5 linked regions of the Callithrix jacchus genome follow. The protein of the gene in region 1 purifies or fractionates together with the protein of each later gene. This does not show direct contact. Links are inferred from orthologs where the notes say so. Each region holds a gene or a part of one and is shown on either strand. Other genes may lie near its edges.

Region 1 (5,666 bases):
CTCACCAAGAACAAGATCCTTAGTCCTTATCACAGACTACACAGCCTTCTGTGGTCTGGCTCCTACAACCTCTGTGAACTCATCTCTTGTCACTGAACTTTTGCTGATCTTCGATCCAGCCATATTGACTTCCTTATGGTTTGTCAAATGTGCCACCAGGCTCCTGGCTCAGGGCCCTGACACTTGCTGTTCCCTTTGCCTAGAGCGTTCTCCCTTATTTCCATGTGGCTCGCTAACTAAGCATTGAGTATCTGTTTGCAGGGTCATCATAATAGAAAATGTTCATAAGTCACCCTATGGAAAATAACACCTTCTGTTTCCTCTTTCCCTACTTTTTCTTCTTAGCACTTGCAACCATCTGATGTTTTTGCTTCTTTTTTTTTTTTTTTTTTTGACCCCTTTAGAATGTGAACTGCGTATCCTTGCGTTTAAAACAGGGCATGGCACACAGCAGAGTAGGCACCAAAAAAATTACTGCTTAAATGAATAAGTGATTATCTAGTGCCCCCTTTTCTCTATACCACTTATTGTAACTTCAAAGAATACTTTGGCTACCCATGTGCTGCTACTGCACTTATTTTTCTATTTAGAGATTCTTAGAAAATTCTAGAATTTCTAAAATTGAAATTTTAATTATATGTGGTTTTCAGTAATCTCTGACTTATTTCTGTAAATACAATGATCTTTTCTTCCTTTTTGGTTCGTGTTTTTTTATTCGAGGCAGAGTCTCACTAGGTTGCTCAAGGACTACAAGCACACTACCATGCCCAACTAAACAAATATATATTCACATAGAGATTTAGTGTTCATTATTTAATTTGCCCTATTAAAAAGAATTTAAATAATTCCTGTTTGAGAGAATTGCTCCTAAGCCTGGAAACACCTTTGCTGTGATACTTTAATCTTCAGAGGAACTCTCAATTATTTTTTATTTGAGTTATAGTGGTATCAAAGATTTATCCTTTGAAACAAAAAAGATTGAAATGCTTTATGTTTTCTGTATTCGAGCAGATCTACTGTCCCCATTTGTCTATTCTGTTGGTTTATCCTTTCTTTCTTAAATAACATTTTTTTAAAGATCTTGTTGCATACCATGCATTAAATAACTTTCTTTTGGCAAATACCTTCCCTTGCCACTCTGAACTATGAGTCTACCAAAGAGGGGGCAGCTAGTTTTCTAGCTGGGATTATGGAATTACAGGCATGAGCCACCGTGCCCATCCTGATGTCTTTATGTTTTATTTAATTTATTCTGCTTAATTCATTATATTTCTTCATTGCTAAAATTTAATCAGTAAGCATTCTTGCACTTTGGATCTGAGGTGGGTGCATCACTTGAGGTCAGGAGTTCGAGACCAGCCTGGATAACATGGTGAAACCTCATCTCTGCTAAAAGTACAAAAAATTAGCTGGGCATGTTGGCAGATGCCTGTGATCCCAGCTACTCAGGAGCTACACAGGACATTCGCTTGAACCTGGGAGGTAGACGCTGCAGTGAACCCAGATTGCGCCACTGCACTCCAGCCTAAGTGACAGAGCAAGACTCTGGCTGAAGAAAAGCATTCTGTTTTACAAGGGGTACCTATGTGTCTTTATCTTTTGCACCACTAATCTCTGAGTCTGAACCTCTGTCTCTTCTCATCTGCTCTGCTGCAGTGGCTTTCTTTGTGGAATCCCTGCCTCCAGTTTCTCTCCTGTAACATGTCCTGATGGTACTGCCACAGCCAGGCTTCTATAAAACACCCCTTTGACTGTATTATTAATCTGCTAAAGTACCTTCCATTCTACTCAAGCACTTTCCATGAGTCCCAGTTATCCAAAGGATAAAGTCTAAATTTCTTACCTTTTGGCCGGCTGTGGTGGCTCACACCTGTAATCCCAGCACTTTGGGAGGCCAAGGCAGGCAGATCACCTTAGGTCAGGAGTTTGAGACCAGTCTGACCAATACGGTAAAACCCCATCTCTACTAAAAATAAAAAAATTAGCCGGGCATGGTGGTGGTGGGCGCCTGTCCTAGCTGTTTGGGAGGCTGAGACAGGAGAATTACTTGAACCCAGGAGGCAGAGGTTGCAGTGAGCCAAGATCATTCCACTGCACTGTAGCCTGGGTGACAGAACAAGACTTTGTCTCAAAAAAAAAAAATTCTTAACCTTTTATGTAACATCCTCCGCCACCTAGACCCCAGCTTTCTAGCTTCCCCTCACATAATTCTTCTCTTGCTAAATTGTCCAGCTAAACCCATTACCTTATTATCCCTTACATGTCTTTCCTTTTTGTGTGTTGATGCTCTCTGCCTAATGTCCCCCTTGCTCTCACATATCCATACGATAGATTCATAAATGGTTACCCTACACCTTGCCTTTTCCCTGAGACTTCTCAGGCAATTCTAGCTCCAGATGATCACTTGAGCTCCTCTACATGAAGAGTACTTATTATCTCTAACCCTTAGTTGGTGGATGGTTCATTTTATATAGCACTATAGCATCACTTATTGTTATTCAATGTACATCATTACATTTAATGTTTTGGTGGGTTTAGACCACATCCCCCATATAAATGGTGACTTCCTCAAGGTAAAGATGTCTCTTATGCTTTTTTATATCCATTGTTACACGGAAGCAACTGAGATAGTTTAAATTTTTAAAAAATGCATTTTCAGACATTTAACTTCTAGATTTTTCTTACTATGCCCTGATGATAAATTAGGCACCTTTGAAAGTGGGAGCAATTTTTTTAGATGCCTTAAGGACCTACCTAAAAAATTTGATTTTCCAAAATGCAGTAGGTCCTAAATAGGGAACTAGAAAGGGAAACAAATCCACATGAGATTTTTATTATTTTAAAGTGGCTAACAAAAATTATAATTTACCCTAGAGAGGCAGCTCATTAAATTTATGTGCTGTTGGCTTCAATTTTTCAGCAACAGGAATAAACTTGTCATTCAGAAGTTTTGACTGGTTAATAACATCTTGGGAATTTCTGGGCTCTACAGAAATAAAAGGAATAAAACAAGGATGTTTAGTAGAAGATTTGGATCCACAACCCTTGAAGTGTAAAGAAACCATGGTTAGCTATTACCTTGTTGGAATAAAAACTAAAACATGAGAATAAGGGATAATTTGAGAATAAAGTATAATTCACTTAAATTTGGCCATAACTTTTATGTGATGTAGTTGAATTTTTTTTCACTTACTAAATTTTGTGCTTTTATTTCATAGATATTATGCCTTAGAGGTCTCATATTTCAAATCCTCTTTGGATCGAAAATTGCTCGAGCTGTTGTGGAATAAATACTGGGTGAATACATTGAGTTCCTCTAGCTTGCTTACTGTAAGTATTATACTTGCAAGGAATGCATTTGAATTTTATCTAAGCTACTTAGCCATTTAATATCTGAAACACTGTTTCACAGAAAGGCAGTACCTAACTTGGCCAAGACACCAAGGCTGAGGTGAGATTCTGCACCACCAGAGTGGGATTAGGATGCTAGGCCAATTCAAGATTTTTGTCATGACCCATAGAGACAAAGTCTAAGTAGCAAATAGAGTGGCCAGATCAGGGTGAGATCTGCTCCTGCCATAAGGAGATTTATGGATAAAAAATATACAAATATTGATTTTTGTGTATCAGGTGTCTCAGCTTGGAGTCTGGTTGCAAGTAACACGACACCTAATGAAATTAGCTTAAGAAAGAGAACTGCGTAAGTTGCAAAGTTGAGGAATAAGGCTTAACTTAGGCACAGCTAAGTTTTCATTCAAACAATATTATGAGATCTTGTGTTTTTTCTCTCTTAGCATTGATTTCATCTTAGTTACTGCTAGTTTCAGGCTTCATGTGAAAGCAAGACAGCAGCTTTAGCTTTAGACCTCCAGGCCTCTCAGTTTCATGTTCAAAGAAAGAGATGGTCAAGATACACACACACACACACACACACACACACACACACACACTCTCTCTCTCTCTCTCTCTCTCTCTCTCTCTCTCTCTCTCTCTCTCCCCCCCCCCCCCACCCTCTCTCTCTCTCCCAGTCAAAACTTCATTGTGTCTGACTGGCTTTACTTAATCACATGCCCATTTTTAGGACACACACACACACATACACACAGACACACACCCCCATGCAAAATTTCATTGTGTCTGACTGGCTTTACTTAATCACATGCCCATTTTAAGGCCAACTGAATAAGCCTGATGAATGGCTTTGGCCATGGCAAGTGCTTTACTGCTGGGCCACAGTGTAGAAAACTCCTTCAGTAGCTCAAGTACTAAAAACGGGGAAGGAGAGGTTCCCAAAGGGAATCAGAATAGCATTACCTTAAAGCAGTAGATGCTGGGAGGGAAAAAAAAAAAGAGGTCACTGAATTTTTTCTGATAATATAAAAACCCAAAATATTTGGAAGGATATTTAATCAGCTTCTCTATATATAGAACTTAGGAACAATTTTTTTACTTTTCTAAAAAAGCAGGCCATTTCATATACTGCAGTATATATAGTAGTTAGAACCATAGGATTTAGAATAAAATAAACTGGGCTTGGAGAATATGAGCTACAGCAGCAGGAGTCATAGTAGGACCATCACTTAGAAGTTTCTTACGCTCTTTGATCAAGTATTGGTTGAAAGGAGTACAGCTGAAGCTGGAACTAAAGAAGGCATTATGCTTCCAGAAAAATCTTAAGGTAAAGCATTGCAAGCAACAGTAGTAGCTGTTGGATCACGCTTTCAAGGAAAAGGTGGATTCAACCAGTTAATGTGAAAGTAAGAGATAAAGAATTATTCTCCCTGAATATGGAGGTACCAAAGCACCAAAGTAAAGAACTACTTTGCCATTCTTTAGGTTTATTCAGTTGACCTGGAAAGCCAAGGATTGTGTTTTCGTTTCGTTTTTTGAGACAGGGTCCCTGTCATACAGGCTGGAGTGTGGTGGTACAATCTTGGCTCACTGCAGCCTCAGCCTCCCAGGCTCAAGCAGTCCTCTCGCCTCAGCTTCCCAAGTAGCTGGGACTATAGGGGTGAGCCACCACACCCGGCTAATTTTTGTATTTTTTTTGTAGAGACAGGGCTTTGCCATGTTGCCCAAGCTGGCATTGAACTCCTGGGTTTCAGCAGTCTGCCCACATTGGCTTCCCAAAGTGCTAGCATTACAGGCTGTGAGCCACCATGCCCAGCCAGATTATTTAGAGATGCTGACATTCTTAGAAAGTATGTAGACTAAAGTAAATCACTAATGAAATGCCATCAACATGAAGCCGCTCATTGCACGTAAGTTCTGAAATACTTAATTATATAAATAATTTCCATGTCTCTCTTGTATAATAAGCAAATGATATCCTAAAAAATAAAATTGACTTTGAAAACAACTCTGCCACTTTACTAGTTCTGAGCGACTTTCAGAAAGTTATTTAATGTAACTAAGCATTTCTTTGTTGTAAAATGGTGATATACTACATACATCATTAAGTACTCTGAGAAAATTAAATGGGCTACTTTATATAAAGCAATTAGCAAAGTGTCTGGCATATGATAAAGCCTCATTAATTTTTTTTTATTTGGTGCATTATATGCATGGAAAAATACCTCACTTTAGCCTATTATTTAACTGTTCTTTTTTTAGGCTAGTCAAGTGAAGCAGTGTATTTTTTATTATTTTAAATAGAACTCTGACAA
Region 2 (6,465 bases), on another chromosome or scaffold:
GCCTCTGATACAGGGGGCGCCTCCCAGCAAAAGTTCCCCAGCCTGACGCTTAAAACTGGATGTTATACTCTACCATCCCGACGAAGTTGCTAAATCCATGATCACCCACTCCATCTCCTGCTCCAAAGCTTATCATGCCTCACTGCACCCTCATAGAGAATGGAAGTGTGAAGGGTTGGTGTGAAAATGGAGTTTTATCAGTAACGACTTAAAGGCCAGGTGAAACCAGGGGAAGAGATGCATATTTTTTAATAGAATCCAAGAAAACAACTGAATAAGTCATAGATCCATTTTTATTTCCTTCATTTATTCCAGGGAGGCCAGAAAATATAGAAAATTTTATATGTCTTTTATTTTTTAGTTCCTTATTTCTAGCATTATTATAAGGAAAATAGGCCAGGCACAGTAGTGCTTTGGGAGGCCAAGGCAGAAGGATCACTTGGGGTGGCAGGATCCCTTGGGGCCAGGAGTTTGAGGTTAGCCTGGGCAAGGTAGCAAGGCCCTGTCTCTATGGAAAAAAAAAAAATGCATTTCCCCCCCCAAAATAAAAAGACAAACTTCCTTTCCAAAGTAATAATAATAATAAAGATAACACCTCTCTGTGAAGCAGTTAAATGACAGTGAGAAGCATGAATGTAACCAAACTGTGTTGCAAGGATATCACCTACAACTTACTTCTCTGTTTTTTTTTTTTGAGACGGAGTTTCGCTGTTACCCAGGCTGGAGTGCAATGGCACGATCCCAGCTCACCGGAACCACCGCCTCCTGGGTTCAGGCAATTCTCCTGCCTCAGCCTCCTGAGTAGCTGGGACTACAGGCGCGCGCCACCATGTCCAGCTAATTTTTTTGTATTTTTAGTAGAGACGGGGTTTCACCATGTTGACCAGGATGGTCTCGATCTGTTGACTTCGTGATCCACCCTCCTCGGCCTCCCAAAGTGCTGGGATTACAGGCTTGAGCCATGGCGCCCGGCCTCTTCCGTTTTTTTTTTTAACCGTTTCCTCTTCCTAACATAACATGGTAGGATGTATCTTCTTTAAATAGGGGAAATGTACTTTTTAAATAAGATATTATTTAACAACCTGTCATTCAGGAAGAAAGCTGAAGCTTGTAATAATAATAAAAAATCCAAATACATATTCTCTCCAAGTTAAGAACTGTTTATCATAGGTGGTTCTCAAATGTTGGTTTGGGGGAAGTTTTCAAGGTTTTCTGTTTTTGTTTTGTAAGTTAAGAGTGAACACCCTCTGCATCCTCCCAATCCTGCTCTCTCTTTTCCTACCCAAAGATAACCCTAACAATATATTTCTCCCCCACCCTCTTCCTGAGATCAATTCATAAGCAACACAAAAAGCCCTTCCTATTATTATTTGGGGTGGGCCTTCTAATTACAATGTTCAGTGAGCGAACATAGGAAACAAGTGGTTTGTCTTTTCCGAGACGAAGTCTTGCTCTGTCGCCCATGGTGGAGTACAGTGGCACGATCTCGGCTCACTGCAACCTCTGCCTCCCGGATTTAAGCAATTCTCCTGCCTCAGCCTCCCGAGTAGCTGGGATCACAGGCACCTGCCACCACGTCCGGCTAATTTTTGTATTTTTAGTAGAGACAGGGTTTCACCACGTTGGCCAGGCTGGTCTCTTAATTGCTGACCTCATGATCCGCCCGCTTCGGCCTCCCAGAGTGCTAGGGTTCCTTGGCCAAACTGCACGTGTGCTCTCTCTTAATAGTTCTCAGATGATGGGGGCAGGGTAGGTGGAGAAAGGGGGTGACAAGAAAAGCTACCTCTGCAGACAACCATGAGCCAATTTTGTCAGACCTGCGCCAGGATAACATTCCGTAATAGATAGTTCAGCCAGACTTAAGTAGAAAAGCAATGGCTCGTGGAAAACATGGTTTAAAACCAGAAGCCTGATGTAACTTTATTTGGGCTGCGCTTTCATCTTTCTTTAAATAACTTAGGGACCGAATAACGGGCCCCACCAGCAAATGCAAGCTCCCCTGCCTCCCAACCCGATTCTTCTGAGAACCTGCTGCCATCTGCGTGGAACTCCTGTAAGATGGCTCCTACGCGACGACCCTGCCAGAGAATCAGCTATACGTGCCACAAGCATGTCCACAGATCGCCTGCGTGCCTCAGCCCACTGACACTCGATGGGGCGAAAGGGTGACCTCGCATTTGATGCCTTTTGTCTCCCTGAACCAGACTCCCTCTCCTTCCCTTTCCTCCTACGCTCATTGCCTTTTCCTTAGCCCCTGTAACGCAGCGTGGGAGAGAAAACAAACTTGATTTCTTCTTCCGGGGATACCCCGGAGCATCGCTGCAGACCTGGGCAGGCGGCGGAGCCGGCGCGCCCCAGGCGTGCGGAGAAGTTGCGAGGACGCGCGCCGTCCGCCTCCCGCTTCCCCCGGCGCGCGTCCCTTAACCTCTCCGGCTTCCCAGAGGCCGGATGCAGCCAACGGGTCAGGCTGGCGGCTGGGGTCCCGCGGGCGGAAGTGAGAAGGGCGGCGGGGGAGGAGGCTGCGGGCTGAGGGCTAGGATTCCCTTCCCGCCTGGCGCCGCTCGGGAGAGCCAGCGTGAAGACGCCCGGCGCGCTGCGCCCGCCCTTTTTTGGCGCTGAGAGAAAGAAGGGCAGGGCCGCCGCCTCGCGGGAGTGGGCCCCGGGAGGAGGGGCCGCCGGAGAGGCCGGGCGAGCGCGGGTTGCCCTCACCTCGCTGCTCCTCCCGGGCCGCCATCCCTCGGCGCCCCACCCGGAACCGGCGCGCGCGTGGGGGCGGGGAGGCCAGCGCGCAGATCTGGCGGTGAGCGCCGCCGCCTCGGGGCTCCCAGCCATGTCGGCCGAGGAGATGGTGCAGATCCGCCTGGAGGACCGCTGCTATCCGGTGAGCAAGAGGAAACTTATCGAGCAGAGCGACTACTTCCGCGCCCTCTACCGCTCCGGCATGCGCGAGGCCCTGAGCCAGGAAGCAGGCGGCCCGGAGGTGCAGCAGCTGCGCGGCCTCAGCGCGCCAGGCCTGCGTCTGGTCCTGGACTTCATCAACGCCGGTGGGGCCCGCGAAGGCTGGCTTCTGGACCCGCGAGGGGAGAAGGGCGGCGGGGTGGACGAGGACGAGGAGATGGACGAGGTGAGCCTGCTGTCCGAGCTGGTGGAGGCGGCCTCCTTCCTGCAGGTCACGTCCCTGCTGCAGCTGCTGCTGTCCCAGGTGCGGCTTAACAACTGCCTGGAGATGTACCGCCTGGCGCAGGTGTACGGGCTGCCCGACCTGCAGGAGGCCTGCCTGCGCTTCATGGTCGTCCACTTCCACGAGGTGCTGTGCAAGCCCCAGTTCCACCTTCTGGGATCTCCTCCCCAAGCCCCAGGGGATGTCAGCCTGAAGCAGAGGCTGAGGGAGGCCCGGATGACTGGGACTCCTGTCCTCGTGGCCCTTGGTGACTTCCTGGGGGGACCCCTGGCCCCTCACCCCTACCAGGGGGAGCCCCCGTCCATGCTCAGGTACGAGGAGATGACTGAGCGTTGGTTCCCGCTGGCCAACAACCTTCCTCCCGACCTGGTCAATGTCAGGGGCTATGGGTCCGCCATCCTGGACAACTACCTCTTCATAGTGGGCGGGTACAGGATCACCAGCCAGGAGATCTCCGCTGCGCACTCCTACAACCCCAGCACCAACGAATGGCTCCAGGTGGCCTCCATGAACCAGAAGAGGTAAGCACCCCGGCAGAGTGCTGATGCCTTCTCATTCATTCACTTGTTCATTAGTTCATTGCCCCCGTGTTTACTGAGCCAGTAAATAGGGGAGGGTGTGCTGAGGTGGAAATGACATCTTCAGGAATGTTGTTGGCCTTAGTCCTGGCAAAATTCCCGGTGAACTAAGAAATTGCAAAGAGGAAGTCCCCAGTGAGGTCAAGTAGCTGAGTGGTTTTTTGGCAGGTATTGTGCCTTTAAGTGAAACTGCTTTCTGTGGCTCTGTCCTTGTGAAAAAAGATGTTGTGGTTTCCTACAAGAATTACTTTAAAAGAAAGTTACTCCTTAATTGAAAAGAAGTTTTGTCTTAGTTTTTAGGGTGTGAGCCTGATGATAATGATACATTGGACAGTAACCTGTAACACTGACTTCGGGTTTTGTTTTGTTTTTCTGTTGTCAGTGACTATGACAACAGAGCCTTCCACACTGTGACATCCAGCCATGATCAAGAGATAATTACGGGAAATGTGTTTATATTTGCAGTAGGGGTTGCTTTTCTTATTTTATCCTCTCTTTTGCTTCCTTCCCTGGACAGCCATCATCACTGACCCAAAGCTCGAGGCTGGAAGTGTTCAACTTCAGAATTGGAACATTTTCATTAATCCAATCTTCTCCCTCTCCCATCCTGCGAATCCTTCCTGCCACCAACTTGGGTGGCTTGAAGAAAGGAAGAGGAGGAGCTTGGGGAGTGGGATGAGAGGGGAGAAGGGAAAGGAACCAGGGAAAGAATATGAAAACAAGAGCAAAGAGCATATACAGGAAGAGATGGTAGGAAATAAAGATGGTAGCACCCAGGAGGCCTCAGAGTCATTCGGAAGCGGGGAAAAGAATCCATGTATCTCAAGAAAGGATGAAAATACCCTTTCTTACCATCCACCTGTTTCCACCTCAGTCCTCACAGGATCCTGGTCCTGAAGTGTGGAGCAAGGAGTTGGGGAACTCATAGCTAGGCAAAGAAAGTCTTAACAGTAACAGTGAAGCCATTATATATCTATTGGACTTGAGGGTCCTCCTACGCCAGGGATCATTTGGGGAAATAACTGGCTTGCTTTCTCCTATAATATGAAATTCATTTTGAAAAGTATGCTTTTTTTTTTTGCCTGATAATATATAGTTGCAGAAAACTAGAAAATGAAAAACAATGAAGAAGCAAAAAGATGAATATTCCTACTCGCTCCTCCTAGAGGCAGTAACTGCAGGTTGACGTATTTCCTGCCAGCCCATTTTTAATGCATTATTTACGCCGTTGAGATGATGCCATGTTTAAAATTTGGTATCAGGAGGGTTATTTTAAAACAAATTCTATGCGCTGTAATTTAAACAACAAAGGAACATTGTGTGGCTATAGGCGGTGGTCTGAGTAAGGGTGGACAGTCCTGAGTTCTCTGTCTCCTTTTGCACTTGCCTCCAGCTGCATATCATTTGGTGCTCACCAGGCCATCCTTAGTGTCACAGTACCTCACATTTCTTCTTCCCTTCATACATCCTTGGTAGTCTTTGTCTTTTTTTCTGGGAAGGCCCTTTTCATCCCCTTAAAAAAAAAGCATTCAAGTAATGCATGAATGCATGCTTCTCAGAAAAACTGCAAATTACACCAAAAAAGTGTAGAGTAAATGTCTGCTCTCAGGGTACAGAAAGAAAAAAAAAAAAAAGACTGTTATCAACAGACTTTTGTTACCTTTAGATACTATAAATGTATAAACATTTATATTTGTAAATTATATATATACTTAATATAAATACAGTTAACCCTTAAACAATGTGGGGGCTAGGGACACCAGCCCTGCATAGTACAAAATCCCTATATAACTTTTAACTCTCCCAAAACTCAACTACTAAATAGCCTGTTGACCAGACGCCTTACCAATAACTTAATTAACATGTTTTGTATATGTATTATATACTTCATTCTAACAATAGAGTATGTTATAGAAAATAAAATGTTATTTAAAACTCTAAGGAAGAGAAAATTAAGTAGAAGTGGATCATCCTCATCCTCTTCATGTTACATAGGCTGAGGAGGAGAAGGAGGTAGAAGAGGGGTTGGTTTTGCCGTCTTGGGTGGCAGAGGCAGAAGACAATCTGAATATGGGTGGACCCTCTCAGTTCAAACCTGTGTTGTGAAAGGGCCAGCTGTATAAGTATGTTGATAGTGGTTAGCAATAGGGGAAAAGTATTTATGTATATTAATGTGCATGGGGGTATGCATATTAACTTACACGTTTTTTAAATTCTAAAATTGACTAGGTTGTACTAACTATTATGGCACTTGATATTTCCACTTAACCATATCTGAGAATTGTTTTCTGTGTCAACAAATGTAGATCTACCTCACTCTTTAATGACTGTATGGCATTCCAGCCTAGGGATGTACCATAATGTGGTCAGCCTTTCCCTTATTTATGAACATTTAGGTCACTTCCATTTGCATTAGCTGTTTCAATAACCATTGCCATATTGAACATCCTGGTAGATGCATTGTGTATCTTAGTAGGCATATGTGGGTTGGTTTCATATGTCCAATTTGTGGAATCCCTGGATAAGTAGGGCAAAGTGTATGCATGTCTCAAGTTTTGTTGAAGCTGGGTGCAGTGGTTCATGCCTGTAGTCCCAGCTACTTGGGAGGCTTAGGCAGGAGGATCACTTGAGCCCAGGAGCTGAAGGCTGCAGTGCACTGTGATCAGGCACGTGAATAGCCATTGCACTCTAGCCTGAGCAACACAG
Region 3 (6,279 bases), on another chromosome or scaffold:
CTATATACACAGGTAGTACAATGAAGCAAATAAGGAAAAACCTAATTGCATAATGCTACATCCAATGCTTTTAGAGGCAGATCATTTAAGAGTGCCTAAAATTTTAGTGTTATTGTGTTGTTGCTTCTCAGTGCTTATACAGGATGTCCATTCCATGAAGTCAGCGATATGTACTTTAAAAATTTTCACGTCTGTCTTCCTTGCTTCATCAAGCAGTGATGTATCTGATAAACAAGGAAACATATTCTTAATTCTGCAAAAGAAAACAAGACAGAATTAGAGGAAAACCACTAGAGTAACGTTTACAGGAATTATTTTGTCATTACGTTAGTGTGGAAATAAACTTGATGGGGAAAAACGTATGTACTCTAAGTCTGATGACTACTCATCTCCACCTAATATTCTCTTAACTGGATTTTTTTCCCTCTCCGATGCTGTGTACTTTTGTCTAGAGCAGTGGTTCTTAACAGTGGGCAGTGTTGCCCTTGCCCCCCAGGGAACATTTGGCAATGTCTGGAGACATTTTAGGTTGTCACACTGGGGGAGAAGATGCTGCTGGCATCTAGTGGGAAAGGCCAGAGATACTGCCAAACAATCTAAAACACACAGGGCAGTTTCCTACAACAAAGAATTACTCGGCCCAAAATGTCAGTAGTGCAGAGGTTGAGAAACCCTATCTAAAAAATCTAGGTCACAGACAAGTGGGAAAGAAACAGGAAAATTAGGAAACTGTAATAATTAAGGGTAAAAATTTACAAATTTTTTATTCATAAATTTATTTAAAAAATTAAATTTTCTTTAAATTAAAAAAATTTTTTTCTCTACTGTGACATATTAAATTTTCTAAATTTGAAAAATGATTAGGAATAAAAATTACAAAGGTCTTCCAGAAGAAAATTTTATTAACATCATTTTCAAAATATTTTTTTATTCATACACAGAATTTATTCATGAATCCTTCTGAGTAAGTTCTTACTAATATTTCTAGTATTCTTTGAACTGGCAATATTACTAACAAATGCCTCTCTGCGTGTCAGAATGGGGCCAGATCAAAATCCAGGTTTGATTCTCATGGCTCATCTGATGAGCTAGGTTACAAGTCACAAACCAACAGGAGTTGCGAGTGTCAAGGCTGCTTCGGGAAAATTTTCACCTAATTTTCTCACTTCATATGGTACTATGAAACAGGCTCTATAGTACCGTTCTGTATAAGCTCTGAAAAATACAAGGTATAGTGAAGTCGAATACACAATTTAAAGACACAACAAACCTGAATCCCACCTTAATCCCTGTTAAAATTTTTATAAATGAGGATTTAATAAGTTAACAATATTTATCAAGATCGCCTCATATGCTAAGCTATGTATGTGCTTTAAAAAAGAAAGAGGTCACAATCTTGGTCTATAAGACACTAAAAAACTTAATATGTATGTTAATTCGATAATTATGACTAGCTAATCCATGTACATTTGGGGGCTGAATTATTCAAATTAGCTATTAACGGTGATCAGATTGAGTACGGAAAAATCTCCACTTCCTTTGTGCTGGGTTGACCCACGGTCACCAGTCTTGATATTTACTACCCATTTCCCCTACAAATATCAAATCACCCTATTACAGCACAATTAGCATACACTGGCTGACCTGTTCACGGATTGCTTACTGACAGAGTTAATCTAACTTCTGCTTTGCAACTTGAGTGTTCCCAGAAATTGAGAAACTTTAGTAATTTTTTTATCTTTCCATTTTGCTTTTTGTAAATACTGATTCCTTCTCTCTACAAACTCTCTAGAACAGGGAAAGTGACCGTTTATGAAAATGTCAAAGACAGAACACAACATAACAACACCCTATTCACATCTCCAATCCCTTGCATCACCAAAGGTGAGCAATTTCTACCACATATTCCCCTCAAAATTTAAACTTAATTATGTATTTGCCATTTTTCCATGTATGGCTCAAAAATGTTACAGACTCAAACTGAACCTCTGGGAAATTAACTCTCATGAAGTGGGACTGAGGGAGTACCCCAATTCTTGTTCAGATGGGGAAAGAACTTATTGTTATATGTCTCAGTAGGACTCACAGAAAAATGCCCTTCCTACCCGACGGGGCCTTGGTTACAGTAGCTGCTCTGGTCTACTATTTCAAGAGAAAGTATCTTCGGGCAAAGAAACTTTGAAGAATTACAGTATCCCCACAGTGATTCCCAGCCTTCCCAATCGCTACTTTTTTGACCTCACGAAGTATAAACAAAACAAAACCCCACAGGCTTTTAATCTGCCAGCAAACAGTAAGATCAGGTGTCGTGGGTTCTGAAGGCCCTGGGTTTCAGTGCGTGCTCCTTTGCTGATCAAACCCACCGAACTGTTTACGTCTGACGTCTTCTGAGGCCAGGCTTCTTGGGCGTCTGCTCCACAGAACCGGCATTCGGGGAACCGTCTGAAACATTTTCTTCTGTTCTGTTGGCTCTTTTGTTTTGAGTAGAAGAATCTAAGAGTGGGGGAAATTTTTAAAAAGAACACACAATCTTTGTTAGAAAAAACAATGGATGCAGAAGTTGGCCCGATATTTAGGGGATGAAAAACCCACCACCTCCACCCACAATCCTGTATCCGTCATCCCAAATGGCCTTTAAGGGCACAAAATGAGGTTGTTTTCAAAAAACAGAAAGTGCATTCTCCGCCCCAGAGCGCTCTCGCTAGCCAGGAGGCGGACCATTGATAAACATCCCAACTTTGTCACATACCTAAGGCTGGCTAGTGGGAGGGACTGCGACGTCCTAAATTAGGGAAATTATCGGATCTTACCATCTCCAGTTTCTGACTTAAAAGTTACAAACAGACAAGCAGTGGGTCAGGTAGCACTGGAAACCTAAGACCAAAAAAGTTAGCCCTTCCAAAATTAAATCAGAATACGCCGGAAAACAAGCTGAGATTAACACCCTCCAGCAGGCAAAGCGGGCCCCCAGACACAAACAATCTACGGTTGGGAAGGGGCCATTACCGTCAGCTGCAGGTCGCTTCCTTATTCCTGCGCACTGCTCCGCTAACCCCGTCTGGCTGTCGGACGGATCAGTCTTTGGGTCTACCAAGTGCGTGTCCTCAGAGTTAGCCGGAGCCCCAATTAAAGGCGCCGCCGGGCGGCTCCCGCTGACATCCTGGCTCTCCTGAGCCGGCACCTTGCAGGCGCCTTTGGGGGGGCGCGGGGGTCTGTAGTAGAACTCGGGCAAGCTGCCCTTCTCCACCTCTTGCCACTCGTACTTGCCCTCCAGGGGCTTGTGATTCTGAAAATCGAAATTCCACTTGAGCTGGCTCGCCTCTTCCATGTCTCTGCAGTGCTTCTCCAAGTCCCGGGTTAACTCTTCGTGGTCCACCGGGCCGAAGAGGTTCCTGCAGGCCGAGGGCTTGGGGTGCTCCGCCTGCCTGGCGTCCATCCGCTCCAGGCTGGGGCTCCCGTTAGACATTCGCACGTTTGACATCTTCCCCCCGGGTCTGTACGGCCGCCTCTCTCGCACTCTCAAAAACACGAAACAAAACAAAACGCCCCTACGCAGCCCGAACCACACTCGGGAGCCCAGCGACTGCCCTCGGAGCCAAAAGACACGGACCCGGACGAGCCACGGCCCGAGCTACAGGAGCGCGCAGGGTCTGCGGGATGGGGCTGCGGAGAAGCCCCTGCCCAGCCGCCGAGTCTCCGCTGATCAAGTGGACTGGCGAGTGGGAGGGCGGGGAGGGGCGGGGAGGGGACCAGGCAAGCGGAGGGGGTGGCAAAGCCCGTCCGAGTCCGGGCGGTGCAAGCCCGCGGGTCCCGCGAACCCAGCCGCTCTCCAAACCTTGCCGGCGTCGGAGTCGCGGAGCCGTGAGCAAGCGGGGACAGGGGAGGGGGCGAAAAACACCCCGAAAAGACGAGCCCCCTTTTTTAGTGGCCCAATATGGCGGTGGAAGGGAGGCTGACGAAGAAGAAAATGATTGACACGGCTAGTCTATTTAAACAGAGGAGGAGATCCATTGGTTGCGGCGCCGGGAGCCGCCCCGCCGAGGCTGGCTAGCGCAGGCTTAAGGTGGCCCCGGCGCCGTTCCGCCTCCTCCCCGCGTTCCCGAGCGCGCCGCCTCCCCGAGCGCCGCCGGGACATTGGCTGGTCGCGTGACTGCTGGAGGTGTACTGCTGCCAACAAACCTGCTCTGGCTGGCCTCGGAGAAATTAAAATTAAGACAAACAAACTAGCCAAACGGCCGGGAAGCTGGGGCGGGGCCTGGGGTTCGGGGCCCGGCGCGGCGCCTAAGTCCCGACCTCCCGCTCCTTGCCCGGGAAGCCGGGGGCCTAGACCAGAGGACCTCGAAGGTCACCAGCAGCTCGCTTAGAGCCGAAGTGGCGAGCTGCCCCCAGCTCAACCTTCCCCAGTGGCCCCCACCTCGCGGCCTGTGGGGGAGGCCGTGGAGCGTTTGCTGGAGGGGCTGGGCACCGCCCCGGCCGGTTTGCCTTAGCTGGGGGTGGGTGGTAGTTCGCTCAGCCTTAATCCAGAAGTTTCTGCCATCCCTGGGGAGGTAGCAGGCCTAGGGAAGAAGCCAAGGCGAAGGTCTTTCTTTTAGAAATTAGCCAGGAGTAGACGCGGCACTTACCATAAACTCAAGCTCTCTCTCCATGAAAATTAAGAAAGGAACTCAAGATTTAAAAAAAAAAAAAACTCGAGTAGTCTCTCAAGTCCATTAATAAACGCTGTAGCTGTCCCAGACACATTCAGTTTTGAAAACCGAGGTTACACCCCTGGCCCAGGCTCTTGCTTCCCAAGCAGAGTTAAGGCCATGGACGTCGGCTGCGTGTGGGAACTGTCTCTCTCTACTTTTCAGTTCTTTCCCGGGATTGTAGCAGTTTCCTCTACCTGGGTCCAGCCGCCAAATACAACAGCTCCTTCCTTCCTCCACCCTTCTCTCTCACCAGATTTCACTGCTCCAACAAACTCAGAACAATATTCAGATGCTAGTGAATGCTTTCAGAGGGCTGAAGGGTGAAAATACTCCCCTCGGGGCCAAACTCCAGATGATGAAATGATTCTTAAAGCCACCAAACCATGTCCTAATGTCCGATATTCCAGCGTTTCTCTGCTCCCTTTTGCAGCTGGAAATTTCTCTCATTGTGGGCTTGAGCACCGTGGTGGAAGGTAAAGTAGGACGACGAGCAGGGCTGCCCTGAGACAAAGCTCAGTGGATCTTCAGCTGCTCTCCCCACCCCCATGCCCCGTACCCATCATCTCGGTTTGGGCCAAAGTTAATACATTTTGCTGGAAACCAACCTTCCGTTCTAGTATCACACGGCAGCCTAATTTTCTTATGCACCTATGCTACAGATGAACTTCATGTGTGGCTCGTTTTCTTAGCCACATCTTGTTTGTCCACTTTGTGTGCCTACCTCATCTCATACACTCCAGAATGTGACAGCTGGAAGGGACCTTCGGGACCCTGTGGTTTAACCCTCTCGTTTTTACCACGGAGGAAACTGAGACTCAGAGAGGTTTCCTGTCCAGGGACATGCATTCGGTTGGTAACGGATACAGGACTAGCTGCAGGTCTCCTACCACTCGGGTTGGTTCATTTTCTGTGCCTTTCCTTCCTGATGGTCCTCACTGGTTCAGGGTTTCGTCTGGGTTTGATTGTGCTGTAGTCTGCAGGTCCTGCTGTCTTACAAGTGACTCAAAATGGCTCCTTCCCAGGCCCTGGGTTGCCTGCAGATGTTTCCTTGATGCGACCTGTGGTCGCTGATATTTAAATGCAGCTGTCACAGTCCTTTGGTATCACCATCCACTAATTCAACTAAAATACAGACTCTAGAAAAACAGGGGTGATACCCAGAGAGCAGTAAAGGAGGCGTGCCTAAACTTAGTTTTAAAGTCAGGACTTCTACCTAAGTGACAGAAAAGAATTCACCTAGGATCAAGCAGGAGGTTTCATCCTCTTTATTTTTTCCACTTTCAATGCTCTCAATTTATTGAAGACTGGGAGAGAAGGGACAGGAAGATTAGGGTAGGCCTCACTGCCGTAATTTATACCTTACTCCCCAAATTAGATAGCTATCCTAATTTTAAAACAATTGCTAGACAATACAGGAACCCTCTATTATATATGTGCATTTATCCATATGCATAAACACCCAAACTCCCACATATATGTAAATGGACACATTCTAGAGTATTTCACCTTGCCACAGCAGTTTGATTTTACTCGTGGAATTCATGTCTTATATGAAAGTGGAAAATTAACACTTCGATCCCCTTCACATGCT
Region 4 (6,342 bases), on another chromosome or scaffold:
TTGATCCAGAGACAGATAATGCCTGCCTTTTAGTATCTCCTTAGGAGGTGAGGAAATCTCTAAAAGCACCATCCCATCAAGCACACTGCCTCTCACTTTTCCTTGGTTAGATCAGGGGCCTGCGCCTACCCCCAAACCAATGGCTGGTGAAAAGAATGAAACCATCATGATTAGTTGCACAAATGGTTCTTAAAGTGTGATTTGGTGGGGAACACTGGAGACCCCTGAGACAATTTTAAGTTTTAAAAGACTATTTTCATAATATTAAAACATTTGCTATTTTCACTCATTCCTTCACGAGTGTACAATGGAGTTTTCCAGAGGCTACGTGATGTAATTTTGCAACAGACTGAATTCAGAAGCAAACAAGAGAATCTACCTGTCTTAAGACAGAAGGAACTATAAACTGTCCTCTTTCCCTACTTTACATCAGCCACAAAGAAAGAATGTCTACTCAGAATGGCAATCGGGTTTCATTCAGTAGCCAGAGAATGGAGAAGGGGAGCTAACCCTCTAAAGGCACCTTTTTCCAGAAGGATGGGAGGCGGGGGAGTTGAAAGAGTTGGCCTAGCGGGGGGCGAGGGGGGCGGTGGTATGAAGGGCATGCGCAGGCTGGAGTTGCAGACAAGCAGGCCCAGTCCCTGAACATGCTGCTAAGATGCCAGTGATCTTCCTTCAGGGGAGAGGATTTCAGCATTATAATGTTAATGATCCAAAGGTAACTGGAGGTTGCCTGTTTATCTTCTGGTATTTGGCAAGGGGTCAGGAAGCTTTGGTGATAACTAGGCCACCTGGCTTCCTTAAGTAGCTGTGCCTATAGACTTAAAAAAAACTGGCTGGGCTTGGTGGCTCATACCTGGAATCCCAACGCTTTGGGAGGTGGAGGCAGAGGGATATTTTGAGGCCAGGAGTTAGAGACCAGCCTGGGCAACAGAGAGAACTTTCTCTATGTCTACCAAAAAAAAAAAAAAAAAAAAAAAGCCACAGCTGTTCAAGAGGCTTATACCAGTGACAGTGTCACCCTATTTACCAGTTGCGGGGGGAAGGAAGATTTGGGAAATAGTTGAATTCCACAAAAATATTTTGTTAAGGGGTAACATGTTTTTTAAAAGTATTAAGATGATTTAATTTTTTTAATATGGTAAATATTGATAATCGTAACACAAAACTATTTGGTCGTGTGGATATTTTAGGCGTAAAGGGTCCTGAGGCAATAATGAGAACCGCTAATTTAGACCAAGTTTCTACTCAAGTTCTGGCGATCAAATCAGGGCTCCCTTAGGAAGGAATTGGAGGGAGAAATGGATGTTCGGTGGGGACGCACCCGTGTCTGCTGTGCTTCCATATCTTCTGTGGTTCTCAGTTTGAGCATGCATTAGAATCGCTATAAAGTTTGTTAAAACATAGATTGCTGGACCTCACCCCCAGTGTCTGATTCAGGAGGTCGGGGTTAAGGACTGGGAACGTGCCAAAACTTAATAGTTCCCAGGTGAATCAGATGTTACTGGCGGGGAACTGGTGCACAGCTTGGGGCGTGCTTCACTGCAATTATCTTACTTAACTTCCTTAGAATGGCAGGTGCTATTTATGCCATTTTACTCATTCAAAACTTTAAACCTGAAGATGACAACGAGTTAATTAAGTTTACAAGGAATAAAGGCAGTGATTTTCACACACTAAGACAATTTTTTAAAAGCAAACGCTGTCAGTTCAAAAATTGAGTTTATGCTATTTAAACAGGCTTTGGGGTAAGTACTACCTAGTCCCTGCAAGGAATCTGTGAATTAGAGAAAGATGTAGGCTCAGAAATATGGCGGTGCCGGGGAAGTGAGAGGCACAGAGAAAGAATTTATCTTCACTGCAGGAAGCCTCCTAGAAAGTTGCCCAGCACCGTGGCTCATTCATGCCTGTAATTGCAACATCTTGGGAGGCGCAGGCGGGAGGATCGCTTGAGCCCTGGAGTTTGAGACCACCCTGGTAAGCACAGCGAAACCCGTCTCTACAAAAAATACAAAAATTAGCTGGGCATGGTGGCGGGAGTCTGTAGTCCAAGTTACGAGGGAGACTGAGCCAGGAGGCTCGCTTGAGCCTGGGAGGTAGAAGCTACAGTGAGCAGAGGCCGCGCCACTCCACTCCCGCCTTGCCACAGCGAGACCCAATCTTAATGAAAAAAAAAAAAAAAAATTTCGGGCGTATTATGGGACGGATAACTTCAACTTCAGAGCAAGGGCTCCAGGACCTGCACCGGAAACACGGTGGCCAGGGGTCGCACCCGCGTTGCCACTCCCACCTTCTCCGTCAGGCGGAAGTGGTGCGGGCGCCTGCTCAGTGCGCGCCGGCCGGGCAATCGTGTGCCGGCGAAACTGGGTCCCTCCGAGCCGCCGTAGGACTGGTTCCGGCGGGCTGGTGAGGAATGGAGCCGGTGGGTGGCTGCGGCGACAGCTGCGGCTCCTCCTCGGTAGACCCACGGAGCACCTTCGTGTTGAGTAACCTGGCGGAGGTGGTGGAGCGTGTGCTCACCTTCCTACCCGCCAAGGCATTGCTGCGGGTGGCCTGGTGAGGAGGGGAGGCGGGAAGCTTGCATCGGGACACGCTGTGGGCATATCCCAGGCTGGCGGGGTGGGGAGAGACCCTGGGGACCCAGGACCACCCCCGGCTCCTTCGCCCTAACTGAGGTGACCTCCACCCGCGAGGTATCTTCCAGCTGTAGAGCCCCCGGGACTTCCCTGAGGAGTGAAGTTCCCCTTAAGGTTTTCTCCACAACTGACCAGCGCCCTGATACCTACTTCCCCCGGGGGCTTCGGTTCCCGCAGAGATCTCTTGCTGCTGCGCCTGCAGGTGGGGGTTTGTGAGCCGTGGGAGAGACGAAAATGAACGTCCATTCGCGATCTTTTGTGCGTTTGCGTCCCCAGCGTGTGCCGCTTATGGAGAGAGTGTGTGCGCCGAGTGTTGCGGACCCATCGGAGCTTGACCTGGATCTCCGCAGGCCTGGCGGATGCCGGCCACCTGGAGAGGCATTGCTTGGTTCGCGTGGTAGCCGAGGAGCTTGAGGCAAGTAGCAAGGGGTGTCATGCACAGTCAATTGCAGGTTGGTGGTTCAGTCTTTGAGAACTATTTTTTTTTTTAATCCCAGTTTTGTTAATTCAAGGAACATCTCGTGCCGTGAAAAAAATTTGTGAACATTAGTTTTAGTGACTACACTGTAAGAATGTGTCATGATTTATTTGACCGTTCATCAAATGTTGTGCCTTATAATCCACATTTTCCATTGTTTCCGTTGTTTCCATTAACAACAACGATGTGCAGAACCTTATCTCCACCTGCTTCCCTTGAAGCAAGTTTTTGTTGTGTCTGTTTTACTGGGAAGGCAACTGGGTGTGTTTTGCTCAGTGTAGCACACCTAGAAAGCCAAGAACCAAAACTTAAAGCCAAATATTTCAACTCCCGATCCTGTACTCTTTGGCTTCTCTGGCCCCCAACTTCAAAAGGGGAGCCAATACCTGGAGAGGTAAAGACTCGGACTGTGGAGTCAGAGGGGCTGCAGGGTGTACCATCTCTCTGAGGAGTGGGAGGGCGCCATTTGACAGTGAAGTGCCAATCTGATGCTCTGTCATTCTTTTTAGTTTCCTGCGGCTTACAAACATAGCCACGGTGCAGCCGTCATAATCAGGAAATTATCACTGATAGACTTCGTCTGTTTTATCCTCAGACTCGGTTCAGGTTTTGCCAGTTGTCTCAGTAAGGTTCTTCATGGCAAAAAAGGTCTGTTCTCAATTGCAAGTTGCTCTAAATAAGTCATGTTTCTTTAATCTCCTTTGATCTGGAACAGTTTCTCAAGCTTTGCTTGATTTTTCCCAAGCCTGACACTTAGGAAAATTACAGGCTATTTTGTAGAACATCCATCAGTTGGCAGTGTGTGAGGTTTCTTACTAGGTTGTGTTTCTTACTAGGTTTGGCAGGAAATAATCACAGAAGTCATGCTGTGCTCTTTTCACGGCATCCTTTAGGTGGCATGTGATTTCCATTTGTCTCTTTATTGGTGATACAACCTTTGATTACTCGATTAAGGTTGTACCGGCCAAGTCTCTTCACTAAAATCACTTCTGTAATGATTAAGTGTTTTTTGAAGAGATAATTTGAAACTATGTAAGTGTCGTGTTTCCTATTCGTTTATTTATATCTGTACACACTCTCCAAGTCTTATTTCAGTGGGATATAATCTGTTACTGTGAGTATTTATTTTAGTGTTCAGTTTACCCCGGACCCCCAACGCCAGTTTGGCTAGGGGGAGCTCCTTCAGGCTGACCTCATTGTCTTTAGAGATGACTCCTTTATCTTTGACCACTTGTCTGGCACAAGGTGTTCTAAGCTTGTCTTGGGTTTTACCTGCTTGGGTCCTGGCATTGGCCATTTGTCCATGAAACCCTGGCTCCTTTTGATAGAGTGTGATATTTAGCAATCAAGATCTAGATTCTCTAAATGTACTCCTTGCCATTGAAGGATTTGCTGCTCCAAAGCTCAGTCATTAGAGCCAAGGAATATATGTATATACATGCATATGTGTGTATATAATCAGCATATATGTATACACATGTGTACAACTATATTTCTGTGTGGAAACTCATGAGTTCACACAGGTGCAACCTTTCGAATCAAACGCAGGATGCTTTCTAGTTTTGTCTCTGCTCGTATCTGTATCTCCCTTTGGGCAATGGGAAACCTGGTTCTCATCATTCTTAATGTATTTAGGTATTACATCAATGCCCCATACGTAACCAATCTTCTGTTTCCCCCTTCCTTGGGTGGTCTTTCTCCTTACCCTGTTTGGGCTCTGGAACTCTCATCCCAGGGAGCTGGCCAGTATCCAAAGGCAGGCTTGTTAGAAAACTTTTCTTCTCTGGCACTTTGTCCCAACTCTTGCCATCTCTTTCCAGAAGTTTATCATTTGGAAAAATTAAAAGTACAGGCAGACTTTTCCTCAAAAATATTCTCTGGAGCATCATTTATAATAAGAGATACTAAAAAGCTAATGTTAATGTAATGACGTTATTAAATTATAAACTGCAAGTACATTCATGACGAGAAAATGTTGATTTTAAAAGTGAAAAGACTGGGAAATTACATATTTAGTATCATCTGCATTGTTAAAGACAAAAAAGAGAGTAGAAAAGAAAGCCAGAATGTTAGCTTTTGTTTCTATTTAATGTTTTAAAAACTTTTCTCTCCGTTGTCATCGTTTTCAGATTTTTACCCCAGCAGGCATTATTTTCCTGTAGGTTTAAGAGTTTATACATTGTAGTGGCTGTATAGCCGGACAGACTTAGCTGTGAACCCTAGCTTTGGTGTACAGTGGGATGACTTTGAAAACGCTACTTAACCTCTCTGAGCCTCGGGTGCCATCTCCATAAAATGAAAAGAAAAATAATAATTTTCCTGTGCTCTTATAGAGTTGTTGTAAGGATTCAATAATGAAAATGTAATGCATATGACACATTACCTATAGTACAGGGAGTATAAGTGCTCAATAGAGGTCTATTAAATACTTTTATTAGTATCATTATTAAACTTCACAGAGTTCAGTAATGCCCTTAGAGGAGTGCTGCATTGTAGTAAACTGCTGGTGAGACAAACACACGAAAACTCTGCTTAAATCACACTTACTGATTGTGTTTTCCAAGTTATCTAGTGGACAATGGGTACGTTTATAGCCATAAAGAAAGTTGATTTAACTTTTCTATTAAAAATATTTTAAGTCCACTGGGCACAGTGACTCACACCTGAAATCGCAACACTTTGGAAAGCTGAGGCAGGCAGATCACTTGAAGTCAGGAGTTTGAGACCAGCCTGGCCAACATGGTGAAACCCTGTCTCCACTAAAAATATTAATATAAATATTTAAAATATTAAAATATTGAAAAAATATTAAATATATAAATAAAAATATTAAACTACAAAAATATGGGTGTGGTGGTGCAAGTCCACCAAAAGCTTTATAAAACAGCTTGCCATTTGTAACTTCTTTGAACAGTGAAATGTGGTGCTAGCTTTCTTACACTGTGCTTTGAGAACATTTCATATTGAGGCTTGTTATGTCACTGCTTCTAGTGTGAATTAGGAAGGAAAATTCAGCAATTGCTTTTCAGTGGCTGCTAGAAAGGGAAACTCATAAAATCTCAGGACCAGACTTTTAATCAGGAATAGGAAACCTGAGGCCTAAAAGTTTGATGCGGGTTATTTTCCCAGTTTGTGGCCACTGTGACCTAAGACCTAAATCTGGGTGTGTGTGTGTATGTGTTTTGAGACTTTCTCACTCTGTTGCCCAGGCTGGAGTGTGGTGGCCCA
Region 5 (6,265 bases), on another chromosome or scaffold:
TACAGCCACAGGCAGGATATTAGCACTCCCAGACCTGTTAGATACCAGAACACTGCTAATGAGCAAACAGCCCTGCCTCAATTAGTGGTTTGTGAAATATTCCTGGATATCACATTGCTTTTGCTGCCTGATAATCACACTGGCTCTTGGGATGAAAAGCAACCAAGCAAAAAATTGCTCCCTTGTTGAGCACTGCCTCGTTGATCTCCTAAGTTATATCTGTAGACAGAATTTAAGTTTCTCGTTTCCCAGAGCTGGGGTTTGATTTACACATGTAATCATTGTGTTGGTGTTCATGTTTTCTCTTGCGAATCTTTACCATAGTATTGGATTACTGTCTTTTGAGACTGATTCTCTAATTATTTAAACAAGGTTATTTTAGAAACAAATTAAGAAATAAACTATAGACAGATCTAAAATGCTAAACTGCTAGTTTCCTTAGACATAGGTGTTTATTTGGGGGTGAGGGGTGGTAGTAGAGAGAGAGACAGAGATGGAGAAAGGGCAGGGGGATTAATGAAATTGGGAAACTGTTTCATCCAGATCACCACTTCTAGTTTGACTTTCCCTAAATATTTTGCTTCTTAACTTACGAGTCACACTTCAGATTGCAGCAATGTTAACCTCAGCAACTGAAAAGAAATGCTTCAGTATGTAACTTGGGAAGAAAAAAGTAGTAAAGGGAAGCAATTCAAGATCGTTATTGGTATTTGAATACATTTATTGTGACAAGAATGCTGTTATAAATATTCATAAGCAAAGGCCATCTTTTTTATCTAGGAATTGTCAAAGAGAAGATTCCAAATTGGAAGGATACATTTTTTGTAAAATCTGCCACCTATTCTGGCTTTGAGAATAAGCATCTATTGTTAAATTTCTACTAACATTATAAATGGTCACAGCACATGCCACTTGATACAATCTCAAACTTTGAAATGTTTGAGTTCCCAGTGGGCCGTCCCTCTTCACTGCAACCCCCCAACCCGTTCTTCCAGCCTCCTGAAACATCGAACCATCCTTTGGTAAGCAATTCCATATAGACAGCTGGGGGAAGAGTATATAACCTGACCATAGCATCAGGTACATTTATTTCTAAAGTCTAATAGAGAACAGTTTTTACTGCTTGATAGTAAGAAGCACTGAGAGAGATTTTAATTGACATTCTTAACTTTCAACTCCACTTAGATAGCTAGTATCTATAGATGATGCAGAAAAGAGGTTAGGGGAGTACTTTTCAATAGTTTATTGCATTTTCTTAAATATCCTTTCTGGAATTTTCAGAAACAAAACATAAAAAAATTATATACTTTATTACAAATGGTAAACTCAGAGTGCTCCAAATCTCTTATTTACAAACAACACTGGGCAGGACACCCAAACAAACAAACAAGAAATAACTTACAAAGGCATGAAGCTGTTTATTGACAGTAATCAGCTTTCATCAAATTAAAAAAAATATATATGTACATACACAGTTAACGAAGGCAGGCCAGAAAGAGTTCATCTGCAGGCTCAGCCTCGCTCTCACAAACCTCCCTCCAGCCGCCCCTCCCCAACCCTCCCCCCCACGCTTTGTGTTCTTAAGGAGTACTACAGAAGCAATCTACAGTCTCTATTGCAGTTTGTAACCCCCTCCCCCTCCCCCCTTTAATACTGAATGAGATCGAATGTTAGGTCCATGCAGTTCTTGGTCAATGTTAACGAAAAGTCTAACGTTCCGTTCGCGCGGGGACAGCCCATCCGCAAAGCCGGGCAGCCCGCAGACGGCCGCTCCCTGGCTCCACGCCAAGGGAGTGCGCGCCAAGTCCTTCCCACTCGTGCACACTGGGGGCGCCGTCAGGACGCAACCCAGTCCAACTTGGATACCCTTGGCTTTAGTTCTCGGACACTTCTTTTTCCTCTCCGCTGCAACTTGTCAAGTTCTCAAGTCTGTCTCTGTTATTTTTTTCTCCGTTGCCCCTCAGTCCCCGACAGTCTCTCTTCAAAACGTTTGCAACTGCTGCGTTAGCATGAGTTGGCACCCACTGTTAACGTGGTTCATGACTTTCTGTTTAAGCTGTGCCACCTGTTCCCTGAGCATGTTGGCCGTGGACGCCAGCTCCGAGTTCTGAGCTTTCAAGGTTTTCACTTTTTCCTCCAGCCGGGCGATTCTCTCCAGCTTCCTTTTTCGGCACTTGGAGGCAGCGATGCGGTTCCTCATGCGCTTCCTCTCTGCCTTGATCCGCTCCTGGGACTCCATGTCGATGGGGGACAGGGGCGGCGTCTCGCCGGGCATCTCGGGCACTGTCTGAGGCTCCTCCTTCAGGGCCTGCAGTCGCGGGTGCTGCACCGGCATCTGCTGGGGCAAGTGGTGGGGCGGCTGCGGCGGCTGCTGCTGCTGCTGGGGTTGCGCGGGAAAGGCCAGGCCGGCCGCGCCGTAGGAGGGCGCCCCGCCGCCGCTGCTCAGCGCTCCGGGGTTGAAGTTGCTGAGGTTGGCGTAGACCGGCGGCTCGCTGTGCAGGCTGGCGCTGAAGCCGCCGCTGCCACTGCCCCCCGCCACCGAGGCCACCGCGGGAGCCACCATGCCCGCCCCGCTGACCGGCTGCGCCGCCGACGTGACGCTGGGATGTGTGTTCTGGCTGTGCAGCTCGGCCAGGGCGCGCACGAAACCCTCGGCGAAGCCCTCCTGCTCGTCTGTCACGTTCTTGGGGCACAAGAACTGGGTGGGGGTCGGCGTGGTGGTAATGTGCCCATTGCTGGACTGGATGATGAGGCGCTCCAGCTCGGGAGACGCCAGCTTGAGCAGCCCCACGTCGGGCGAGGTGAGGAGGTCCGAGTTCTTGGCGCGAAGGTGCGGCTTCAGGCTCCCCACTGGGTCGGCCAGGTTCAGGGTCATACTCTGTTTCAGGATCTTGGGGTTACTGTAGCCATAAGCTCCGCTCTCGGACTGGAGGAACGAGGCGTTGAGGGCATCGTCATAGAAGGTCGTTTCCATCTTTGCAGTCATAGAACAGTCCGTCACTTCACGTGAGGTTAGTTTGGGCTGCGCGCAGAAGTTTCGGGGCCGCAACAGCGCTCTGGCAAGCGGGGTACACCCGCGTCCCCCCGGGCCTTTGGCGGGGAAAGTTTCTCTAAGAGCGTGCGCGCCTGCTGGCAGTCGTCCCCGCTGCGCCCTACTCACCAACTCGCTCCTGGGAGCGCAGGGTTAATTAAGATGCCTCCCGCACTCTTACTTGTTGGCTCGCGCGCGCTGCCCGGCTTTGAAAAGTCGCGGTCACTCACTGAGCGATCTTCGGTCGCAGCGGTTCCTCGGAGCCCGCGGGCGAACTCACTTCCAGGAGCGGCGGTTCTCCCAGAGGCGCGGATCAGTGCGGACCCCGCAGTGGCCAGCCGGCGGCGGGTCTCGGCCGCCCGGACTCCGACGACTTGTCCCCTCCTCCGCTGCGAGGGGGAGGGGGCGCCCGGCAGCCGCGGCTTGCGCTCGCCCAAGTTCAGCAACCAGTGCGAGCGAAGCTGAGCGCACGTCCTTCTCTCGCGCGTCTCTCCAACGCCTTTTGGTCTTTACCGCCGTCGAGCAGCCTAAGGCGCAGGAAAGGCTTGCAAAAGTTCGCTCCGGGACTCTGGGCCACTTGGCCCGGGTCCTCCCAGCCGGGAAAGTTCTTTGCCGCTGCAGCCGCTCGCCGACGTCCCCCGGCGGGCGCGTGGGTACCGCTGCTCTCCGCCGCTGTCAGCAGCGCTTGGGCAGCGGGGTTCTTCTCCCGGGGGCGGCTGGAGACCAGGCTCTCCCCGCACTCCTCGAAACACCAGCCCCGGAGCCACAGGCGCTAGCTCTGGGCAGTTGGAGAGAAGATGGAAAAGAAAAGATTTGCAGCTCGGACTCTACTGCAGTCCTGGCTGTCTGGCTGTGTCTGTCTGTCTGCCTGAGACCGCGCACCTCCACTCCCGCCTTGCTGCTTCAGCCACACTCAGTGCAACTCTGAGCCCTTATCCAGCCCGAGCTCAACACTTATCTGCTACCAGTCAACCCCTAAAAATAGCCCATGATGTCACCCCAAGGCTTTCCCATTGGCTCGCGTCGCTCTCAGGGGGGCGGGCCCGCCCGTCGCCATGGAGACTCCACCCTAGAAGATTCTTCTCTAGGCCCGCGGAGGCTCACGGGATGAGGTAATGCTCCGTTGCCCTCCTACAGTCGGTCCCTTCTTTCTCCTCCCCTCCCCCTGCCGCACGCCTCTCGGCCCTCTCTTCCCTGGTCTCCTCCCCCGGCCGTTTTTGCTGGCCCGCCCGGTGCATTGTGGGCTGACGTCTTGGGGTTTGACTGTCTAGTGACGGTGGCTGCCGCGAGCGGGCGGACGCTCGCAACGTCTCTGGGGTGGGGGGGGGCGCTCAAGTTCACGGCTCCGGACAGGGATGCAGAGATGCAGGGGATAAGGGGACGCGGGAGGCCAGGGAACCCGGCCAGTTGTTGGGGGCCAAGGGTGCGGGCGAGGGGTGGTTGGGGTTTCTCCACTTGTGGGGCTCGAAGTCATCCGCCGGCGTCTGCCACCGCGCGGGGCAGGAGGCTGAGAATCCAAGTCTGTGGCCCCCCCCGCGCACTTCCGGGGGCGGGAGCACCGCCCTTAAGGTGGCTCTGTGAAGTCCCAGTTGGGGGCGAGCCTAAGGGCGCTTAAGTTTGGGGGCGGTCTCGCGAGAGTCGGCCCCCCAAGTTGAGAACGCTCGGAACTTTGTCTTGGTCTAGTTCAGGAGCGATGGTCCGCGGGGTCGTCTGGCTGCTCATAGAAGCCGAGAAATTTGTATTGCCCGAAACTGAACGCTCAGCTGAGTCTCCGTTGCACCTCTCTTCATCCTCCGGGGACGCGGGGGTTCATAGCTTTGCCTTGGAGGGGCAGTTTTTATAGTGAGAGCAATTAGTGGGTAACAGGGTCCAGATGGGAACAAGCATGTAGGCAATCCGAAACTTGGGGAAGCCCGGTGTTAGTATACTCCCCCTCCCGCCCCCGGACAACACGCACACGCTTAACACAGCACGCTCAACACACAGGCGCGCGCGCGCACACACACACACACACACACACACACTCCATCTGCGCCGTGTTGCTTCCGGGAAAACAAGCCCAGAAGGCGGCGGACGCTCGCATAAAGTCACGCAGTAGAACTCGGAGCCCGGGATAGAACCTGGACTTCAAATCTCTGCACTCCGGGCCGGGTTGTGGGCCCATATCCTGGGTAGCCTCTAGGAAGCGCTAGACACATGTAAGTGGTTCCTTTTCCGCGGTTGTTATTTTATCTCCCCACCACCCCCCCCGCCCCCACTCCTTAGGGACGAAAGTGTGTGGTGGAAAGAATCTTGAAGTCGGGAATCCTGGTTCTTTCGTGGCCAGGCTGCCACAGTGCGGAACGAGGAAATCATGGAACTTCTCTGAGCTTCATGTCCCTCATCTGCCGGTGGGGCCGATGCAGTATACCTCCCTGGGCTGCCAGGAGTTAGTGTGACAGGGTCGCCTACAGGACTAGGGAGGTGGTGGCCAAACAGCCCGCTTCCCTCCCCTGCCTCGCAGTTTCCATCCTCACAGAAGTCTAAACGGAATGCCAGGATATAAGAGTGCGATTTGGCAGGACCAGGTGTACTTTCCTGTGAGAAGCATCAGGGGGAGGAGGAGGGGGGAACAGGGTTAGAAGTCAGCTCTTTCCCAGGCCTCTGTCTAGAACTGGGGCTTGAAGTTGGACCTGCAGCAGTTTAAAGTTCTTAGGTTCTAAATTCGGACTTCACTGCTTCTGAACTTGGAATTCAGCCTTGGGTTCATTGCCCCCAGCCCTAAGGTATTTGCGGCTTTGAGTGTTCAGAAACCAACAGCAGCTGGTATCAGTGGGAAACCTGCCAACTTTTCTTCGCTCCGGGCACTCACCTAGCTTTCAGTGATCTGCAGAGGGTAACTGAAAGCCTACTGTGAGCCAGGCACTGAACTGGGGAGGGGGTGGGGTAGGTATACAGTGATAGCAAGATCCAGTTACTTCCCTCAAGGGGAGAACATTCTCCTTCTGTCTGTTGCTCTGAATCATTTTCTGTTGTAATAAGGGAGCTGTTGTTCTAAATTTTTTTATAACAGTAATAAAAGTAAGTTTCATGTATTAAACACTTATCTGCCAGGCATTCTCCTAAGCAATTTAAATATGCTGTTTTCTCCCCACAGCCGTCTTGAGAGACATATATTTTTATCCGGATTTGACATGTGAGGAAATAGGCCCAGAGAGGTTAAGTATCCTTGTTCAGGTCACACAGGCAGCTGGA

The links.
Region 2: the proteins of COPS5 (region 1) and KLHL42 purify together in Homo sapiens (affinity purification with mass spectrometry; 3 studies listed by BioGRID and IntAct, with this or other methods). This does not show direct contact. The link is inferred for Callithrix jacchus from reciprocal best matches to the Homo sapiens genes COPS5 and KLHL42.
Region 3: the proteins of COPS5 (region 1) and CDKN1B purify together in Homo sapiens (affinity purification with western blotting; 11 studies listed by BioGRID and IntAct, with this or other methods). This does not show direct contact. The link is inferred for Callithrix jacchus from reciprocal best matches to the Homo sapiens genes COPS5 and CDKN1B.
Region 4: the proteins of COPS5 (region 1) and FBXO22 purify together in Homo sapiens (affinity purification with mass spectrometry; 3 studies listed by BioGRID and IntAct, with this or other methods). This does not show direct contact. The link is inferred for Callithrix jacchus from reciprocal best matches to the Homo sapiens genes COPS5 and FBXO22.
Region 5: the proteins of COPS5 (region 1) and JUN purify together in Homo sapiens (affinity purification with western blotting; 3 studies listed by BioGRID and IntAct, with this or other methods). This does not show direct contact. The link is inferred for Callithrix jacchus from reciprocal best matches to the Homo sapiens genes COPS5 and JUN.

Annotation. Positions count from the first base shown.
Region 1 is NC_133517.1:22,930,090-22,935,755, reverse strand, and holds part of COPS5 (COP9 signalosome complex subunit 5), read left to right. Parts: intron 1-3,218; coding exon 3,219-3,330; intron 3,331-5,666. UniProt on the Homo sapiens protein: Probable protease subunit of the COP9 signalosome complex (CSN), a complex involved in various cellular and developmental processes.
Region 2 is NC_133510.1:43,439,647-43,446,111, reverse strand, and holds the start of KLHL42 (kelch-like protein 42), read left to right. Parts: upstream 1-2,508; 5' UTR 2,509-2,830; coding exon 2,831-3,702; intron 3,703-6,465. UniProt on the Homo sapiens protein: Substrate-specific adapter of a BCR (BTB-CUL3-RBX1) E3 ubiquitin-protein ligase complex required for mitotic progression and cytokinesis. The BCR(KLHL42) E3 ubiquitin ligase complex mediates the ubiquitination and subsequent degradation of KATNA1.
Region 3 is NC_133510.1:10,588,106-10,594,384, forward strand, and holds the start of CDKN1B (cyclin-dependent kinase inhibitor 1B), read right to left. Parts: upstream 3,958-6,279; 5' UTR 3,482-3,957; coding exon 3,007-3,481; intron 2,494-3,006; coding exon 2,372-2,493; 3' UTR 2,364-2,371; intron 254-2,363; 3' UTR 1-253. UniProt on the Homo sapiens protein: Important regulator of cell cycle progression. Inhibits the kinase activity of CDK2 bound to cyclin A, but has little inhibitory activity on CDK2 bound to SPDYA. Involved in G1 arrest. Potent inhibitor of cyclin E- and cyclin A-CDK2 complexes.
Region 4 is NC_133509.1:25,093,378-25,099,719, reverse strand, and holds the start of FBXO22 (F-box only protein 22), read left to right. Parts: upstream 1-2,385; 5' UTR 2,386-2,413; coding exon 2,414-2,556; intron 2,557-2,912; coding exon 2,913-3,051; intron 3,052-6,342. UniProt on the Homo sapiens protein: Substrate-recognition component of the SCF (SKP1-CUL1-F-box protein)-type E3 ubiquitin ligase complex that is implicated in the control of various cellular processes such as cell cycle control, transcriptional regulation, DNA damage repair, and apoptosis.
Region 5 is NC_133508.1:95,862,792-95,869,056, forward strand, and holds JUN (transcription factor Jun), read right to left. Parts: upstream 3,958-6,265; 5' UTR 2,987-3,957; coding exon 1,982-2,986; 3' UTR 704-1,981; downstream 1-703. Other genes in the region: uncharacterized protein LOC128928178, read left to right, coding at 5,228-5,229. UniProt on the Homo sapiens protein: Transcription factor that recognizes and binds to the AP-1 consensus motif 5'-TGA[GC]TCA-3'.